2 linked regions of the Tamandua tetradactyla genome follow. The protein of the gene in region 2 purifies or fractionates together with the protein of the main gene of each other region. This does not show direct contact. Links are inferred from orthologs where the notes say so. Each region holds a gene or a part of one and is shown on either strand. Other genes may lie near its edges.

Region 1 (9,812 bases), on a different chromosome or scaffold from region 2:
TGCTCACCCAGGGTCTCACCTCTTCTATTTGAGGCATTTTTCCTTTAGCTGGCACTCGCCTGAGACAGTCTGGTCACACAGACCCTTCTGCAGAAAGCAGCATGCTGGTGCTGCCTCCACTGGCCAAGGCTGGCAGAAGAAACACCAAAAGGTAAAAGGACAGGGGCAGCCAGTCCTAATTGAACAGTAATTACTATTGAACAGCTTCAAAGTCTTATGGCTAGTCAGCACTCAGAAAACATTTGTCATTGTGTGGCTGAGAAACTTAATTGTGGGCTGAATTCTCTTTCCTATATTCTTTCCTTTCTGCTTTGGCTTTTTCCTCCCAACTGATGAAAAGCCGTCCCCCCCCCCCCCCACCTTTCTTCATTTGAAAGAGACTTATCAACTAACCATGAGTGGGCTACGGACTAAAGAGAAGAATTTTGTGTACTGCCCTCCCAAAGCCACAGGCTGGAAGGAGAGCAAACAGCTGCTGAAAAAACTGGGTCTTCTTGCTTTCTGCTCTCTTCCTTCTTCCCCACTGCCTAATTCTTCTCAAGGGACCCTCTTCTACTTTGCTTTCTCTTTCTTGGCTATAGGGAAGAATTCAGAAAGTTTATAGGCAGTTACTTAAAATTTGGATGTACCTTGTGCTTTTGGCAATGAATAAGAATCCCAAAAATTAAGTATAAACACAATCATTTGTTGATTCTAATTTATGCTGTCCTGAAGACATTTCCACTGTAGTGAGAAGACAGTTTGGGAAGGCCCAGGGCACCATGTGAGGATGCCAAGGAAGTGGACTACCTTCCTACAGGTGGTAGTGGTACCATTCGGAGAGTCAACACTGAAGAAGTTAAGTTCTTTCCATTTGGGGATATCTATTTACACAGTCTGTTAATTTGATACCTGTGGCACCTGGGCCATTTGCTCAAACAGGCCTAACTTTCTTCAGAAATGCAGAGTTAGTGGAAACATATGTAGCATTTCCCATCCCTTTCTTAAGTCATCATTGTAGAAAATCTATTATTTTTAAATAGCCAAGTATACACAATTTTCAAGAAACTGTCATCTGAGTTTATACAGGCAACCCCTTCCCCCTCAGACACAGCACATGGCCGCGTTCCAGCCCTTCCATCTACCACACGCTCTTAGTCAAGGCCCTGGCAGTCTTTATCCTTCATCCAACTTACTCCTCTTTCAGGCACCCTGACTAGCCTATCTTGACTTCCTCTTCCTTTGCTATATGAACCCATTAATTGATTTCCTTGTCCCTGCTCATTTCTATCAAATATTTGCCTCTTCCCTGATGGAAAACCATCCAGAATTGTTACAAAATTGTAGTGGATGAGTCTAAAAACTACTGCCCGTTATGGGCCCTGGACTAGGCTGCCCACCAACACCCATCCCCAGGCAGTACATGAAGACTGGGTTCTATCTTGAGCCAGTGAGACAGCCAGCTTGCTTGCAGCAGGCTCGATAGACTGCCCTACAGTTAGAGTGCCCCCAGCCAGCCATTTACTGATCACACATAGATCTTATCATACCACCTTCCTCAAATCCCCAAGCCAGTCCTCAGGCTACCTTTCTGATCAGTCAGCTCCTCAAATATCTGGCCATGCTTCTGGGGTCTCTCCTCAAGCCGCACAGCCAATGTGTTGTTGAGTTTCACTCTTAACCCCACTTGCCCAAGTGATGTGAGGTTTTCAGCTTATAGTAGCCAGTCACTACAGAAAAATAAAAGTGGACAAAAAGGGAAACATTAGGGTTCTTAAGTGTTAGGATTTATTCTCCCTGGTCCTAATTTAATCTGAAGGTGATTCCTACTCAAGTCTCATTGTCCTTTCTCATCCTGCAGCAGTGGTTCTTAATGGGGGGCAATTTTGCCCCCCAGAGGATGTTTGGCAATATCTGGAGATATTTTGGGGTTGTTACAACTAAGAAGATGCTGCTGGCATCTAGTGGGTAGAGGCCAGGGATGCTACTAAGTATCTTTAACTGTATAGGATAGTCCCCACACAACAAAAGAATTCCAACCCCGAGTATCAGCAGATTTCATATGCTGACCACTTCCTAACTTCCCTCTGGGGTTCCCCCACCTGCCCCTTAGCCCTCACTGCCCTCTCCAGTGGCCCAAATATTGGCTTTGTCCAAGATTCTATCACCAAGTATATTTCTCCCCTTGAGAGTATTTTCTGATCCAGTGATTTCATCTCCTGCTAAGGACAATTATCAATTTGAATTTATTGGCTTTGCCTTCTTTTAAACTTAGACCCATCCTCCTAGTGTGTCACAACCTCCATCAAAACTGCCCATCAACTCTGCAGTGTCTAAAACTAAATTGGCTCCGCCACCATGCCGGCTCCTCCCCACTTCCCCCATCTCACTCATGGCTGGCCAGCCAAGTGCCATTGGGCCCCCTCCGCTTTTGTGCATTTCTAGCACAGAATTTCAGGAGATCCTGCTCCCCTGACTGTGTGTGGCTCACTCCCTAAAAGGTCACAGCCAGCCATGGCCTCCTTTGTGCACACACATACCCATTCCTTTGTTCTCTTCCTGAGGGCTCCTCCATGCTGCCTCAATCCTTCCTAAAACATGGCTCAAAACATAACTTGCAGGACAAAAAAAACTTTCCATGTCCTCTCTATTTCCTTCAAAAATAGCCTCAAAAGTGTTTGCCCTAGCCCACAGCATCCTCAGAGACATTCTTCTATTTTCCTTGCTTTTCTTCCTCTGCCCCTCCAAGAGCCCAGATGGCTTATTCTGTTACCAGGTCATGCCCCATGCTTCCTACCACTGGATCTTTTGTTCCCGGTGAGCTGGCTCCCATCCCCCCACCTATTCATAGCCAAGGCATCTATCCTTGACGCCCATTTGAAACGCCATTTCTTCCTACACCAAGCCTTCCCGGGTCCCCCCCTCCCCCCATCCCAAGTGGAAGTCTTTCTTTCATTTTTATGCTGCTATTTCCTTTGGGGGGGGGCTGGTATCTGCCCAGCCTTGATCCCCTCCATGTATGTGCTCCCCTGTCAAATAACCAAGATAAGCCAAAAGAACGTTGAACAAAGGGGGTCTCACGGGCCCAAGACAACGTTGCACAAAGAGGCCCCAAAACCATCCCTTGATGGATGCCTTGGGAAAGAGATCTCAAATTCGCACCATCCGAAGTGAGGTGGGCTGAGCGCAAGGCCTGGTGTGAACAAAGGTTCCTTCTGGGGTCCCCAGCGCGATCTCCCTGGGACTCAACCCCAGCGTCTACTGACCTTCCACTTTTGCAGGTCTCAGCATTCCTGGGGTCAACAACTGCATCGGGGCGGGAAGCCCTCTCCTCAGGGTCCTGGATCTCTACCTCCAGGCCCTGGAAATCTTCTTTCTCCTCACCTCGCCCCAGCGGCGGTCCCCTATGTTAGGCAGGTTCGCCAACCGCCATCAGCGAGACCAAGGGTCGACCCCTTGGAGCCCCTGGCCTCCCCACCCAGTCTTTGTGACTTGTGGTGTCAGGCAGAGTGACCCCACGGCGTTAACCGACCTCGTGGCCTCCCAGGCCTGGCGGCCATACACCCGCCCACCAACGGCTTCCAACCACCCTACCAACACCTCTTTGGGCGTTCCAACGCGGCGCCCCCTATTGGACCTCCCACCCATATCCGGTTTCCGGTCGGACGCCCCCTGCTCATTCGCCAGGAAGACTTGATTGGCGTGACCCCAGCCCAATGGCTGACCCGGTGCTGGAGTTGGAGGGGGAGTGAGTTGGCTATTGGGACCCAGTGGGCCCATTCAGTAGGTTCCCAAATGGCTGAGCTATGGTGCGTGCGGGTAGTTGGCCGAAGTTTGAACCAGAGTTCAGTGTTGGCATTTGGAAGCATGTAGTCCCATAGGGAGGAGGCAAAGCGCCTTTGGAGGGACCCCCAGACGTTAGTTCAGCTTTACCAGCGTTCCTCCCCCACAACAGCCCCCTGCACGGTGGGTGGGGGGGAGGTCGGGGCTCGGTAGCTGTGGTACCCTCCTTCTGAGGAAGAAGGACGCGTTAAACTTAAGATCGGACCGTGCTGTGGTTCGCCCGCAGCGGCTTGTGGTTATAGCGATCCCGAGATCCAGGCGGTGCGTCCTGCGAGCGGCAGCCCACCCGATGTGGCAATCAGCGGGCCATCCCTTCCCTATGGTTCCGCAGACCAAGCAACCACCTGTCCCTTCCCAAAGTGCTCGCCAGTCTGTGCTACCCGCTGGGCAGGCTGCCCGCGCGTGCGAGATTTTCTCTCCTGGGTTGCAGGTTTTCCCCTGGGTCAGATCCCTCCGCAGATCCCCAGACCCGGCGCGGTACACAGCACGCGCCGAGTCCACCCAGACACGACGGGTGTTTACCCCTGTGGGCTCTGAGCCCACCCTGTGCTATGGTAATAGCGCAGCCGGGCGACCACTGGCTTGTGGCCGGGCTTAGTGGTGCTTCTGCGTGTTCTAGCAATGGGAAAGTAAAGCGGTAACCCTGAGACACCCTTAGCAAGAAGAAAGGAGCTGAAAGGGCGCTGCGGAAGGGCCAGGGGACTAGTTGGACTTGCCGCGGGTGCTAGAGCCTTGGAGCCGCGTGGTGCCGCGGCACTGTGTGTGTGCCTTTGGATTCAGCGTGCTCAGAGGTGCCAATCTCCGAGACTATTCCAAGCCGGCCATAAACCTGGACCTAAATCCACTTTGTCTCTTCCCCAGAATGGTGCGAACTGCAGAACTCCCAGGCCTCCACTCTGTGGGGTCTCCATGTGCGCCCCGCACTCCCGGGTTCTGGGCTGCCGCGCCGCCGCCGCCACCGCCGTGACTTTTCCCGGGAGGTTTTGCCTGGCATTCAGTGGTGCACGCCCAAGACCCTCTTATTCACTCTGCCTCACCCTATACAAAAACGTGGAGAGACCCCCTGCCCGCGCTGCTCTAGGCCACTGCGTAGACCCCTAGAGTTTGGTGGGGATGGGGGACTTTGAAGGGCTTCACGGAAGCCAGCCTCGGCAAGCAGCAAAGGAAAACTGCAGAAGAGATGGAAAGTGCCCTAAGGCGATTTAAAAGCAATCATGTGCAAGCACTCGGCAGCCCCTCACTTCCCCTCCACCTTTCCGGTGGGCTCACGACCACCTGTCGCATTCTCATGCGCTATCATCCCCCTTCCCGGGCTCCCAGAGCCTTGCGCTATGGACTTGGAACTGCCGGGAACTTGGAGCTTGGGATCGGGGGCTTTCCGGGACTGGGGGCTGCGGCTCAGAGGTATCTTGAGGTGAGACACCCTCCTGCAGTAACCCCTCCCTGGGGGGTAGAGTCGGTTAGGTCAGGGAGGCAGGGTTTCAGCTCCTGCGTTCAACCTGCCCGGGACCCACGTCTTGCGTCACGTGTCCCGCAACGCAGGGAGAGCTTTCTCTCTGGCCAGGGATGAAGCGAGGAGAAAGCCTCCAAATCGTCAGGGAGAGGAGTGGAAGGAACCAAAACGTCCCTCGGAGGCCTGCGCTCATCGCTCATCAGCCCCTTACCCAAAGTCCGGGGTTGCGAGTGCCAGGAGCCAGCGTCCCCTGGTGGCAGAGAGCGGGCACTACAGACGATTTTCGGACCGAATCGGCACGCTCCTCAGATCCAAGCAGGCGGAGCTAGCCTGGAGCAGAGGGGGAGAGAGAGAGAGGAGGGACAAGGACAAGGACAAGGGGGGGCCAAGGGGGCAGCTAAGGGGATAAAAAGTGGCCAAGAAGGGACCAAGAGTCCACCAGCAACGGTAGAGTTGCTACTGCTATGGTCCAGGGTCTGAAGTGTTGAACTACCAGACTTCACCCAGGTTGAGCAGTGAGGTTGGAGAACTTTCTAATTGGTACTTCGATTTTTTTTTTCCAAAAAAATTTTTTCACCCTAGTTTGGTTGGGTGCTCCGTCTTACGGGGCCCCCAAATTATCTTGAAAGGCCGCCACCGTGTTATGGGCCTGCGCAACCGCCTCGACGGCAATCATATGTCAGGACAACGCGATATCCCCCTTGAATTCGGGGAGCAGCCCAACCAACCACCTTTGGAGGCCCCAGGGGCAGCTGCCCCCAGTGCTGGGCCTGGCGCAGCCGAAGCGATGGAGACCGAACCGCCTACCAGCGAGCCCATCCCGGTCAAGACTAGCGGTGAGGCCTTTGGATCGCCTGAGGTCTCCGAGCCCTGTTCCCAGGGCCTCGGCCTGGCCTTCCAGGAAGCTGGAGCTTGTGGAGGCCATAGTCCACCTCCCGAAGAAGTCAAGCTCTTCCAGACCGAGGAGCCCAGCGTGGGAGGCCTCTGGCCTACCCAGGAGCAACCTAGAACCTTCGCTGGGGCCCGTGCAGGGGCCAGTGCAAGCCTCGAGGCCTTTGGCCCAGCAGCAATGGAGCCCCAAGCCTTCGATGGTGCCAAGTCAGGCCTGGGAGGCTACAGCCCTCCACCAGAGGAAGCTCTGCCCTTTGAGTTTAAGCAGGGAGGCTGCAGTCCACCTCCCTTGCAGCTCGGAGCCCTCTCTCCGGCCAGCCCAGGTTTGGGGGTCACCAGCGCTCCCCCAGAGGAGCCTGGACCCCCCAGGTCTGCAGACGCAGGCTTTGGAGGATCCAGCCCTCTCCCTGAAGAGGCTATGTCATTTCGGTTCGAGGGAGCAGGCTTTGGGTACGACAGCCCACCCTCTGGGCTCTCCCAAGTCCTCCCAGAGACCGACCGCGGGGCCCAGGTCTCAGCAGTCGCGGTCCCGAGCGCGGTCCGCCTCACTCCCGCCGAGAACGCGCCCCCCCTCTGGGCCCCGGGCGCCATCGACAGTCCAGTCCGAGAGGCTGTCAGACCTCCTCTTCACTTCGCGGGTGACAGCCCCCCGCTGGAGATCGCCCGACCCCAGCTCAAGATTGGCAGCGCCCCCATTGGGGTCTACGACGCTCCCGTCAACATGGACAGCCCCCCAATCGCGCTTGACGGCCCGCCCATCGAGGTCTCCCGAGCCCCAGTTGAAAGAGAGCGAGCAGAGCCAGGGAGACCCCCAGTTGAGGGTGAAGCAGCCGAGATGGAAGGAAGCTCAGCCACTGCTCCCGCCGAGGGAGGTAAAGTACCTTCTCTCGGGAACGGAGCCCCTGATGCCAGGGACGGTGCCCCTGACTCCCGGGACGGAGCCTCTGACGCCGGGGACGGAGCCTCTGATGCTGGGGACGGAGCCCCTGACGCCGGGGACGGAGCCCCTGACGCCGGGGACGGAGCCCCTGACGCCGGGGATGGAGCCCCAGACGCCGGGGATGGAGCCCTTGACGCCGGGGATGGAGCCCCAGACGCCAGGGACGGAGCCCCTGATGCCGGGGACCGAGCTCCAGACACTCCAGACACCGGGTGTGCCGCTGATGCCCCTGCAGCCCCTGACGCCCCTGCCACCCCTGACGCCGGGGCCACCGCTGCCACCCCTGACGCTCCCGCTGCCGGGGCCGCTGCTGCCGCCCCTACAGCCCCTGCCACCGGGACCGCTGCCGCGGTCTCTGCAGCCCCTGCCACCCCTGCTGCCAGGGCCGCCCCTGCTGGCCGGGTCACCAGAGCCGACGTCCCTACCCGGGCATCAAGCAGGCTCAAGATGCAGCGCCTTAGACCCCCCAGCCCCGAGATCCAGGCTGCTGACCCGCCTACTCCGCAGCCTGGTCGCTCGGCTTCCCGGCGGGGCCCCAGGTCCGACCGCAGCGACGACGAGGAGTCCGTCAGCAGCGATGAATCCTCTGCCAGCAAAGACGACCCAGGAGAGGGGACCTCCGGAGGCCGCCGCTGGGGGCAGCCCCGGAAGAACCGCCGCCGCCGCCGCAAGCCCCGGCGCAACTTACTCCGCAACTTCCTCATCCAAGCCTTTGGAGGCTGCTTTGGGCGATCCGACAGCCCCCAGCCCAAAGCTCCTAAGCCCCCCAAAGTCAAGAAGGTTTCACTGGCAGAGAAGCGCAGACAGATGCGCAAAGAAGCGCTCGAGAAACGGGCTCAGAAGCGCGCCGAGAGGAAACGCAGCAGACTCATCGACAAGCAACTCCAGGCTGAGAAGATGGGGTACATGTGCACGCACCGCCTGCTGCTTCTAGGTAATGCGGTGGACGCTCCCCACTAGGAGCAGAGCCGCCGGTGGGGCCCGGGAGGGGGTGGCAGGGCTGCCCAGTGGGGTTCGGGGCCTGGCGGCCGGAGGAGGGGGTCCGGGCAAAGGCAGGAAAAGCCTGCTCGGAAGTTCCTGCAAGGGACCCTAACTTTACCCTGGGAGCGGGAGGGTACCCGGGCAGGCTCCGGGGGCCGAGGTGTGTGCCCTCCAGGGAGAAAAGTGGCGCAGAGCGACATTGAGGGTCGTTTCGGGCTGGACAAGCCGGCACCAGCGACAGTAAGCTGCCCCGGAGCCTTGGGGTGGGGGCCGGCAGAACAGGCGAGGGCTTCAGGTGAGCCAGGAAGCGCTGAGGAGGGGGCTGGTGCCTCCCCAGGCGAGGACGGTTTGGGCCGCGGTGGGTTGGGGACGTCGGGAAAGGTGTGCCCCCGCCTCGCCTGGCACGGCTGCTTGGACTCGGAAAGCTTGTGTTTGGTATGTGTTAGTGTCCGTATCCTGTGTCTGCCTGTGCATGATCAGCTCAAGTATCCCCAGTTACCCCAACCCCGGCACCCCAAATTACCCGCCGACTGTGTACTTGTACTGGAGAAGTGGCTTTCTGTGTTTTGCGCTATGGCGCGGTAAAAAAAACTTTCCGTGTTCGCGCACTCTGGTGGTACCTGTACGTTGGCGCTCTGCAGCGGGCAGCGCGAAAATACAGAGGGGAAGGTGGCTGGACATCTTGGGTTGAGGGGCCTTGGCGTGAGGGGGCCGGTGCACACCGGCCTCCATAACCTTTTTTTCTGTGTGTTTCTCTCTTTTTCCCTCTGCGCTAAACGTTTTCCTCACTTCTTATTCGTTCACCAAACCCTCCCGCCTTTTACGTTGAAAAACCAGACACACAGGTATCTGGGGCGTCCAGGACTGCACCCAAAGATTCAGCATTCTGCGCACACTCAGCTTACCTTGTAGGGGGTGGAGGAGAGGGGTCGGGCGGGGGGCACTTAATCTGCTTTGGGCAAGTCTAGATCCAAAAACAAAAAAAAAGAAAAGAAAATCCACTCTGGGCTGACTGGGCTGGTTCCAAGGGGGTGGGCGTGGCTGTGTTTTAAAAAAATGAAATAATTTTTTTTCCCCCAGGGAAGAGCCCGAGGTAAGCCAATCATTTACTCTTTTACATAGAAAACAGTAGGAGAGGCTTGATTTAAAAGGTGGTGGTGGGGGGGGGGGGTTGGCAGTGCAGTTCCACTCGTGTTTGAAATGCAGTTAAAATAAAATGCTTTAAAAAAAATTGCTCCGAGTGTATTTTACCTGTGTGAACAAAATGGTAAAACAGTGGATATGACTTGTGAAATATGTCAGTGTTTGCATGTAAATTTTTTCTAGCAGCTTTAGCTGGTGGCCCAGAGGCTCAAAGGTAAGGTTCTGTTGCTCAGCTCTAAATACAAAAAATGTTTCAAAAGACTTGTAACTTAAGTTGGAATAACCATATTCTGACCAGAAGGGTACCTCCTTCCCCACCCTCTCTCTCAGTGTCCTCTCCCCTCTCCAGCACCCCCTGCCTCACCCCAAAACAAAACCCTTTTCCCCATCTCCATTCCCCACCCCCACCCCTTCTCCTCAAAACTCTTCCCATCTCATTCTGGGACATTAATTAACTCTTTTTGCCATGGTTAATCAAAGCAGCAATTAGCAATACTCTGAATCTGTGGCTTAAATGAAGATCTCTAAACTGAAGCACCACAATCTTAATTTCTTTATTTTATTCTCTAAAACCTTTCAAGG
Region 2 (10,109 bases):
TCCTGACTCTCTAAGAGTGTATAAGAGAGAAAACATGGAAGGGATAGTAACAGACAAAAACAGAAAATCCTCTTCTACCCAATCCCTTCCCCAGCTTACGTTCCCAGTATGCCTGCATCAGTGGGCTCTAGGGTGCTGAGAAGAATGTACAAGTGGTCATTCTTATCGATTTCCTTCAATTGGATTCCAAAAACCTATGGATGGGGAGAACACCTCATGAGGCCAAAAAATTCAGCTTCCTAGCCAACCACAGTTCCCCATGTACCTAGGGTTTTGAGTGTCAGAAATAAGTGAGATAATGCATGTAAAATACTTAGCTAAGTGCCTGGCACACAGTAATCACGGAATAAATGCACTACTGTTTTCTATGCAATTAATGGGAATCTAAGGAGACAGAGAATGGGGAATGGAAGGGAGAGGTAATCATCTGAAATACATCACAGGATGCGTCCAATAGTGGACAGAAGCCACAACTAAGAATTTGGGTGGACTGGGTCCTAGCTGTGCTTTTACCTCTGACTGGCTATGTAATTCATGGCTAGTCTATGCCCCTCCCTAGGCTACCATCTTGCCAGTGATAGGGCTGGATTAGCAAGTATATGTGGTCCCTCCCAGAAGGGACATGTACACCTTTGTTCAGGGCTTCCCCATTGTGCCCATCCCCCAGGGCTACCCCTTCACCTTCTCCAAGGAATAGCCTGCTCGTTCAATGATTTCAGGGTACACATCAGTGTATTCTTTGATGATGTCCTTCAGCATGTCTGCAAGGGGAGAGTGTTGCGAGCACCTGGGCTGAAGAGAAGCCAGGCGGCCCCCATGCCCTGCCCAAGCTATAGACCCTTGCCAACCATGCTATGGGTGGTGTAGCACGGTTCTGTGCTAATGAACACAAATGCGAGCACTGCCAAAGTAGAACTACGGGAGGACACTGGTCTGAGCATAAGAGCAAAGGATGCCCCCAGCACATGGGAGAGAGGGCAATGGAGAGCAGAGTTCAGGGAGAGCTGATGGTTAGTAAGGCTTTACCTGAGCGCTTGATGGGGATCTTTGTCTGGTCTTTAACCAGCAAGTATTTCACCAAATCATTTGCCTGAGAGAAGAGGAAAAGATGGAAAGATCAGATATGTTTCCAGAAGATTTGAGAGCATGGCAGAGCAGAGGGCAGACAATGCAGTAGAAAAACCAGAGTGGAACGGCCAGAGTTCTTACCCTGCCTTGCAAAAGGGCTACATCCCGAGGTGGCAGCACTTGGGGTTCTTGGGATGATTGAAGCTTGGCGGCTCTACGACGAGCCTTTCCCCTACGGGCCTTAGGTGACCTCAGTGACAGCAAGGCTCTCCGGGCCCAAGCAGCCAACCGAGTCCTCGATGCCCTGCGGGCCCAAAAGGCTATGGGGCCCCTTGAGGCTCTGCGGGCCATTGAGGCCATTAGGGCCTTTGAGACCCTTCGACCACCTGTGGTTCCAGAAGCCTGACTCTGATCACTGCTGCCATCCTCTTCCCCATTCAGATGCTTCACCTGTATCAACAAAGAGGGAGCTCAACATCACCAGATGAAGCAGATGGTCATTTTTCCTCATGCTGAGACTTCCAGGAAGCTTCCCCAACCCCACCCCATAATAACAGCCTGCTTCACTAGCCTCTGGTGTCATACAGAGTCTTGAGTTTGTCTTTCACTGACTTCCAGGCAGGAGTTTAATCTCCCCACCAGGCCAGAAACACTGCAAGGGTGGGACGTAAGGCTTCTTCTCTTCTTATATCCACTACTGGCTCTGCCTGTACTACCCTGGACAAGTCACTTAATCTCTCTGTGGCTTAGCTTCCTTCTCCATAACACTAAGACTATGATCCCTAACTGGTAGGAGTTACCTTCAAAATTCAATGAGATAACCTGTGTGAATGTGCCTAGCTCAAGTCCTAACACATGGTAAATATAAACTGAATTATATTCAGATTGCAACTAAGTATATTCATATCTCATCTCTCCCCCAATGTAAGTTCTCTGAAAATACGAACTATATCACATTTCTCTCAGTGTTCCCACAGTCTTGAAGAGCACAGGGAACCTTGGTAACTTTTTATATAACAAATGAACCAACAGGGGGAATGGAAACGCCAGGGTGGAAACTACAGAGCTCTTACCTTTCGGGCTTTCTTGGCCTTGACTTTGGGCCGGGTATCCTGATTCTCCTGAGCCTGGGCAGCTGTATCCTCAGACTCAGGTTTATCTGCCAGAGCCTGAGAGGCAGCAGCCTCAGTTTCCAGGGCCTTTGTAATGACCTGGGTGCTACCCATACAGCTGACCTCTTTGGGCTCACTGGCAGGTACTGTCACAGCCTGCGAGTCAGTATTCTGCATTTTAGTGTCAGCAGGTGGACTCTTGCTGTCAGCTGCCAGAACCTGGGTATCAGTAAGCTGAGTGGTAGATGAGGCCTGGGTAGCAGCTGCCTCCTGAGACTCTGGGGCCTCTGAGACCTCTGTGGTCTTTGAGGCCCCTGGGGTATTTGAGACCTTTAGGGTCTCTGAGACCTCTGATGTCTTTGAGGCCTTTGGTGCCTCTGAGACCTCCAAGTTCTGAGTCACTGTCAATAGGGTCTGCATCATCAGGCTGTTTTCTTCTGAAGCTTCTTCAGCCTGCAAGAAGAGGAAGCCGGAAAGTTCAAGAACCTTCTCCCCACCCCCAACTAGGCAAATGGCTCAAAAATCCCAGGGCTGGGAAGAGGACAAGAGGTGGCCTCACCTGGAGATGGGATGGACCCGCACCACCACTCTCACTTGCGTCAGACATTTCTCAAATTGCCTAGCAAAAGAGCCTGAAGGAAAGAAAGCCTAGGTCAACGGCAGAGCTCACTGAACGTACTCTTCCGTTTTCTGCTTAAGGCTGACCCTCACCTTCCCTAGGGCCCCAATCCCACACCTCCCCCATCCCCAACCGCAACGACTTCGTTCTCAGATAAAGGAATCCAGAGCGTCTAGAGCCCAATTCTCCGCAGCCGCACCCTCCCCTTCTACAGGAAGATGTGCCAGCGCGGCAGCTCTAAGGACCCCGCCCCTTTTCCCAATGCACCCCCAGCCGCAGGTCGATAGTACGCATGCGCGTCCGCTGCAAGGCCCATCTCAGCTCCGCCTACTTTTCTAACACAAGCCCTTTCTTTGCGGTCCACCGTGCACATGCGCACTCGGCAGCAGGCCCGTCTCCCGGTCGGCCCTTCTCTACACGCCCCTTTCTAGCGATCCATAGTACGCATGCGCGCTGGTAATGGTCTCAGCCCAGCACCCTTTCCCAACACACGCCTCTCTCCAGGTTTCCAGTACCATTAGTTCCCGCCCCGTCTCCAACAAGCCTCTCACCCAAATTATCCCAGTGTCTGGTGGCCCCGGCCCCTCCCCAACTTACACCCACCCCACCAGGTCCACAGTGCCTCCTGGTCCCGCCCTTTTTCCTAACACACCCCCCTCTAAATAGGGCAAAGTGACCCTTCCCTAATACATCCCCCTCCTCAGATCAGTATTGAACTAGTGGTTCCATCTTGCGCCGGGCCAAACCGGGTCCAGTGCCTTCCCTTCCCAGCCGGACGGATCCAGTATGATCCGGTGCTTATGGCAGGTTTTCGCCAGATCCCAGAGGGTGGGGCCAACACCTACCCGGTTCTGATCCGAAGCTGGGCCCAGCTCACCTCGTCCTCCTACAAGCCCCAAATTGCGTGCGATCTCTCCAAGCCCCTCCGAAACTCGAAGACTGCCCTCCCCCCTTCAGGCCGGAAGTGGTCCCGCCCCTTTCCGCCTCCCTAGGGGGCCTCAGTCCCAGCCTGTCTGCCCCTCCCCCATTCCCTGCTCCTCATTCCTTATTCCCCACCCCACCCCCGTAGTCCCTCGTTCCGTATTCCCTATTCCCCCATCACGTTTTCTGTTTGCCCCCACGGAATTTTCTATTTCCATTCCGTACATCCTCCTCCGTGTTACCTATGCTCCCCCACCCCCCACTATTCCTTAATCCCTCTGTGCATCCCTATTCTCTTCTCTGGATCTCCATTCCCCTTCAGTGTTCCCCTCCCCCGTCGTACACCGCGTCCCCCACCCGACATGCCGGATTCCCGGTTTTTCCCCTCCTCACCCGCTATTCTCTACTCCCCAGTCCCTACAGCCTACTACTCTATCAGTCGTCGTAGCTGCACCCCACTCCGGGTCACGTCTCCGCCAGCTGCAGTGCTGCAGTAAGAATTGCCCACCTGCCTAGCTATGGGTTCAAAGAAGCTGGAACCACTGTCTAACTGCGAGGGAACCCCAATCTCAACGACCCTCACCTAGTCCGCGACCGAGTCCGGAATGCGTCTGCCTTCTCTCAGTCCTTCTCGAAGTCTCAGACTCCAGGGCTAAAGCTGCAGCCAGCCCAGCCCAGCCCAGCCCCTTTCCGCAGCCCCCTGCCACCCCACCCTTCGCCTTCCTCGGGGGTGGGGCAATGGGGCCCGGCTCAAGGCTGTCTGACGCCAAAGCCCTATGCCACTGTACTAGGCTTGGTCTGAAGCCTTTCCAACCAAAACCACCCCCTCAAAGCCCTTCATTCATTGAATTTGTTTATTTTTATATCATTATTTTACCTTATTACAAAGGTACTGTCTTGTCGTGAAAATTCTAATAATGCAGAAATATATAACATACCAGTGAAGTACTGCCCTTATCCCATCCCCCAGAAATAACCACTCAATATTTTGACATGCATCCCACCAGCTTTTTCTATTCATATACTTATTACTTGGGTTTCCCCCCACAAATGGCACACTTATATGGTACACAAATGGTACACTAGTCATTCGTGAACTAGATTTTTTCCAGTTATATATTCTGAACATCTATCTCAGTTCACATTTTTCTTAGCTGCATGATCTTTTCTAATATACTTGCTCCATAATTTATTTAGCCAGCCGAGTATCCATGGACATTTAGATTGCTTCCTTTTTTTTGGTTTTATTTTTGTTTGTTATTACAAACAATGCTACAAGGAGAATTCTTGTATCTGTATCCTTCTGCAATTGTGCTTGTATCTGTAGGATAAACTCATAGAAGTGGAATTGCTAAGTCAAGTACTAGAAAAGTTTTCCATTTTAATACAAGATTTGCAGACTTGCCTCCCCAAAATATTAAACTGAATAATACTTTCACCAATGGTATTTAGCATATGTTTCTATGTCAAATATGTTTGTTATTTATGGTATGTTTTGCTAACCCAAATGCTACAAAAAGTCTTCCATTTTGATACAAAATTTGTCAAGTTACAGCCCAAAAGATACATGGAATAACATTCCCAGCAATAATGTCCTCATATATTTATGCGCTGCATATATTGCAAATACTGTTCATGTTATTTATGATCATTTTTGCTATACAAAATAGTTTATTATTTACTCAAATATATCAGTTTTTTTTCCTTTATCATATCTGGGTTCTGCATCATGCTTAGAGATGCTTTCCACACTCCTAAACTACAACAATTCCTGTTTGTTTTTTTCAATCACTTTTTTTTTTTTTTTTTTGCATGGGTGACCACCGGGAATCAAACCCAGGTCTCGGGCATGGCAGGCGAGAACTCTGCCACTGAGCCACCATGGCCCACCCTGTTTTTTTCAATCACTTTTATGGCTTTATTATTTACATTAAAATTTTTATCATTCCAAAATTTGCTTTAGTAAAAGGAGTGAGGTAGGGAATTCAGTTTTATTAATGTCCCCAAATCATAATCACTATCCATATATCATGTACAAACTAATCCACTCTGCTATTGATCTGAAATGATGACTTAATCACACATTATTTTGTTTCATGGCTGCTAAATCAAATACCATGCAATGAGTTGGCTTAAACAATGGGAATTTATTGGCTTAGTTTGGAGACTAGGAGAAGTCCGAAATTAAGGAGTTGTCAAAGCAATGCTTTCTCCCAGAAGACAATTATGTTTTGGGGCTGGCTGCAAGAGATCGCTGGTCCTTGGCTTTTCTGTCACATAGCAATATACATGGAGGCCTCTCCAGGCCTCTCCTTTACTCTTCCAGGTTCTGTTGATTTCCAGCTTGTGGCTGCTCCCTGTGGCTTCTCTACCATTTTGGCCTTCCTTCCCTATAAGGTCTTCAGTGATAGGATTAAGACGCATCCTGATCCAACTGAGACACACCTTAACTGAAGTAACCTCATTGAAATGTCATATTTACAAGGGGTTCACACTGATGGGAATGAATGAAGTTTAAGAACATGTTTTTCTAGGGTGCACAGCTCTAAGCCATCACACATATTAGATTCACATAAGTAATTAACTCCATGCAAGAGAACAAAATAAAATGTATAAATAATGGAAAATAGACAAAATTGTCATTAATTAACCTGGAAAACCCAGGAATATCATCTTAAAAATTATGAAAAACCATAATAAAATTCAGCACAGTGGTCAGTTACAGAAAAAATAGTCAATATCTTTCCTACATGTAATTCGATGTAATTCAAATGGCCACAAAGCCTTCTGCTTGATGGCCTTTACTAAACAGTGAAATATCATGAGTCCATATATTCCATGGACAATTTAAAACATGCGCATACTCACACATTCCCAGGCATTCAAGGTAGGCTTTTGTTCTCTTGTCTCCTCTCTCTCTAAATTGCTGCTTCCTCCAAGTTTGTGACATCAGCTGACCACTTTCCTGCTCCCCATCCACCAACTTTATTTCACACCAGACACACTACCTTAGCCACTATCTCCAGCATTTTAAGTGTCAAAATATCCTTTCTGATCCTCTTCATAAACATTTGCTAGGTGACTTACAGCAGGGGAGAGTCTAACTGAATAGCCAAAAGCCAATTTTGATATTGTCATAAGGCATCATAGGATATATAATTATTTGTGTGTTGTAATATCAACATAAAGTTAGCATTTGATTTTTATTACAGCAATGTATATATGTGGCAACAAATAAAATAGTACAGAATTTATGATAAAAACCAACAGTCCCTGCCTCAATCTTCCCCATCCATCCCACTCCCAAGAAGCAATCTTTAAACCATTTATTATTATTATTTTTAGTTCTACTGGCAATACCCTTCAGTACTCTAGATAATATACATATCCTCTGTTTCTTAGTTGATAAAATTTAGACAATATCCCACTGACTCCCCAGTATGGAAATGAGGGTTTTGTTTATGTACACTGCCTCATTTTTCCCTCCACTCTTCTGCAACATTTAACAGTGATACTCTTTTGTGTTTTTCTCTTGGTTGATTTAAAAATATAATCAAATCTTTATTTCTCGTTCCATCCATTTTTGAGACTGTCCACTTTTTAGGACAAGGTTATTAGTACCACTACCTACCTGCTGCCCATACAATGTATCATACTGTCAGTTTCATTATTCCTTTTACATTATCCAGGTTATTAACATTTATATTTTGCTCTGCAGCCACAACCAAGTCTTCTCTACTTTGCCCCCCGGTTGACTCTAAAACCTGAAAATCAATAGACAGCATTTACATTATCGTGACATTGTAAATATTTTTCAAAACTCAGCCAAGTAGAGAGCCAGGAATACATTTCCTTCTCTACAAGTCCATGTCACAATCCCTGGGCCTCTCAGAGTAACACGTCTCTAGCATCGAGGTCAAAAGAAAGCTCCTCTTATACTCCAGCTGTTAACAATCATACTATATTTTGTTTTGCTTAATATTTAGACTACGATTTTTTAACAGTCCCCCCCTACACACATAGAGTTTCTAATAACTTTTCTTTTTTCCTTGAATTATTTGTCTTTATCATATTCAGTCATTCAACAAATATTTATTGAGTGTCTGCTATGTGCCAGACACTGTTCTACGGGCTGAGGATACAGCAGTGAACAAAACAGATAGCAATCCTTGCTCCTTTGGAATTGATAGTCTAGAGAGAGAAGATAAAAGTCAGTGCAAAGGCCCTAGGTTAGGACTATGTCTGGCACTTATTTTTTCCATGCCTGGCAATTTTGAAGAGTATAAAGATCAGTGTTGCTAGTGCTGGGGAAAGTGGGAAGGGAAGTAATAGGAAATGTGGCCCTATAAGCCACAGTGAGATCCACAGGAAGATTTTGAACAACAGAGAGACAGAAAATGACTTGGGTTTTAAAATGGATTCCTCCAGCTACTGTAAAAATACACTGATGGGGGTGGGAAGGAGTGACAACAGCAAAAAAAGAGGACCAGTGAAGAGGCTGCTGCAGTAATGGCTTCGGTTGGATCCACTGTTTCCTACATTCATTGTTCTGGATACCTGTCCTACACATAACTTCTAATGTGATTTAATCAAATTCTCCTCCATTGTTTCTATTATGTCTGTCTGGGATTTCCATTCAGATATTAAGCCTGCTAGATTGGTTTATGTGTCTTAAATTTTCTTATATTTTCTGTTTTGTTTTGTTTTGTTTTGCCCTATATCCTGGGAGATTTCCTGTACATCATTTTCCAGTCCTTCTGCTGATTTTTTTTTATTTCACCAATTTATTGTCAATATCCAAGTAGTCCTTCTTTTCTCTTATTGTTCCTGTATTGTAAAACCTAGTTTCTTTTTAAAAAACAGTTTTATTCATACACTGTACAATCCATTCAAAGTGAACAATCAGTGGTTCTTGGTTTAGTCACATAGCTATTCATCACAACCACAATCAATATGAGAACATTCTCATTTCTCTGAAAAAAGTATCCCATACCCCTTATGCCCCCTCCCCATGATTGACTCAACTTTGGTATAATGCCTTTGTTACAATTGATGAAAGAATATTTCAATATCACCGTTAACTATAGTCCTCCGTTTGCATTAATTGTATTTTTCCATATACCACCTTATTATTACCACCTTATAATAGTGATGTACATTTATTCTAGTTCATGTAAGAACTTTCTTATATTTGTACAATTAACCACAGTCATTGTCCACTATAGGTTTTGCTATGTTATACAGACCCACGTTTTATCCCCTAGTTTTCCTTCTAAAGACATACACGACCCTACACTTCCCCTTTCAAACATACTCACGCTCAGCACCGTTAGTCACTTTACGGTATTGTGCTACCACCATGTAGTGTTGTGTTATCCATTTCTGAACATTTACAATCAACCTTATTAAACCTTATTTACAGATTAAGCATCAATCTGCCCATTCTCTACTCTCTTTCTATCACCTGGTAACCTATACTCTAGATTTTAGCTCCAAGAGTTTGCTCATTATAATTAGTTCATATTAGTGATACTATATGATATTTGTCCTTTTGTGCCTGGCTTATTTCACTCAACATAATTTCCTCAAGGTTCAGCCATGTTGTTGCATGCATCAGGACTTAATTCCTTCTTATAACTGCATAATATTCCATCATATATATCTACCACAGTATGGTTATCCATTCATCCGTTGATGGACACTTGGGCTATTTCCATCTATTGGCAACTGTGAATAATGCCACTATAAACATCGATCTAAAAATGTCTATTCACGTCCCTGCTTTCAGTTCTTTTGAGTATATACCTAGTAACAGGATTGCTGGATTATATGGCAGTTCCACATTCAGCTTCCTGAAGAATCGCCAAACTGCCTTCCAGAGTAGCTGCACCATTCTACATTCTCAGCAGCAGTGAATAATCATTTCTATTTTCTACACATGCTTTCCAGCACTTTTAGTTTTCTGTTAGTTTTTATTATGGCCATTCTGGTAGGTGTGAAATGATATCTCATCATGGTTTTGATTGCATTTCCCTAATAGCTGGTGATGTCAAGCATCTTTCCATGTGCTTTTTAGCCATTTGTATGGGACCTAGTTCCTATTATATGGATGTTAATAACCTTGCTGAGAATATTATACATTTTATTTTCTGAAATTCTCTTTTGTTTCCCAAATTCCAGAATTCTTCTGGGGTCAGTTGTTGCAGTTATCTTAGTTCTTTGTTTTCGTATTGGAGATTCCCTTGATTTGCCTGAGGATTCTTGGTTATCCATTCATATTTAAGATAAAAGGATTGGGTAGCTAATGTAGGCTCCCTATGTAAGCCCGTTTTCTAGCTAGGGATCTTTCCTGTGAGGAAAATCTGTCAGAAGACTTTATGTGGACTAGG

What was found. The genes of interacting proteins can lie anywhere in the genome.
Region 1: the proteins of MAGED2 (region 2) and guanine nucleotide-binding protein G(s) subunit alpha isoforms XLas purify together in Homo sapiens (affinity purification with mass spectrometry; 3 studies listed by BioGRID, counting the BioPlex papers as one, with this or other methods). This does not show direct contact. The link is inferred for Tamandua tetradactyla from reciprocal best matches to the Homo sapiens genes MAGED2 and GNAS.

What each region holds. Positions count from the first base shown.
Region 1 is NC_135327.1:26,449,001-26,458,812, reverse strand, and holds the start of guanine nucleotide-binding protein G(s) subunit alpha isoforms XLas, read left to right. Parts: upstream 1-5,903; 5' UTR 5,904-5,918; coding exon 5,919-8,040; intron 8,041-9,812. UniProt on the Homo sapiens protein: Guanine nucleotide-binding proteins (G proteins) function as transducers in numerous signaling pathways controlled by G protein-coupled receptors (GPCRs).
Region 2 is NC_135353.1:113,825,879-113,835,987, forward strand, and holds the start of MAGED2 (melanoma-associated antigen D2), read right to left. Parts: upstream 4,432-10,109; 5' UTR 4,304-4,431; intron 3,769-4,303; exon of another isoform or gene 3,645-3,768; intron 2,813-3,644; 5' UTR 2,788-2,812; coding exon 2,740-2,787; intron 2,634-2,739; coding exon 2,142-2,633; intron 1,519-2,141; coding exon 1,210-1,518; intron 1,091-1,209; coding exon 1,027-1,090; intron 762-1,026; coding exon 682-761; intron 195-681; coding exon 100-194; intron 1-99. UniProt on the Homo sapiens protein: Regulates the expression, localization to the plasma membrane and function of the sodium chloride cotransporters SLC12A1 and SLC12A3, two key components of salt reabsorption in the distal renal tubule.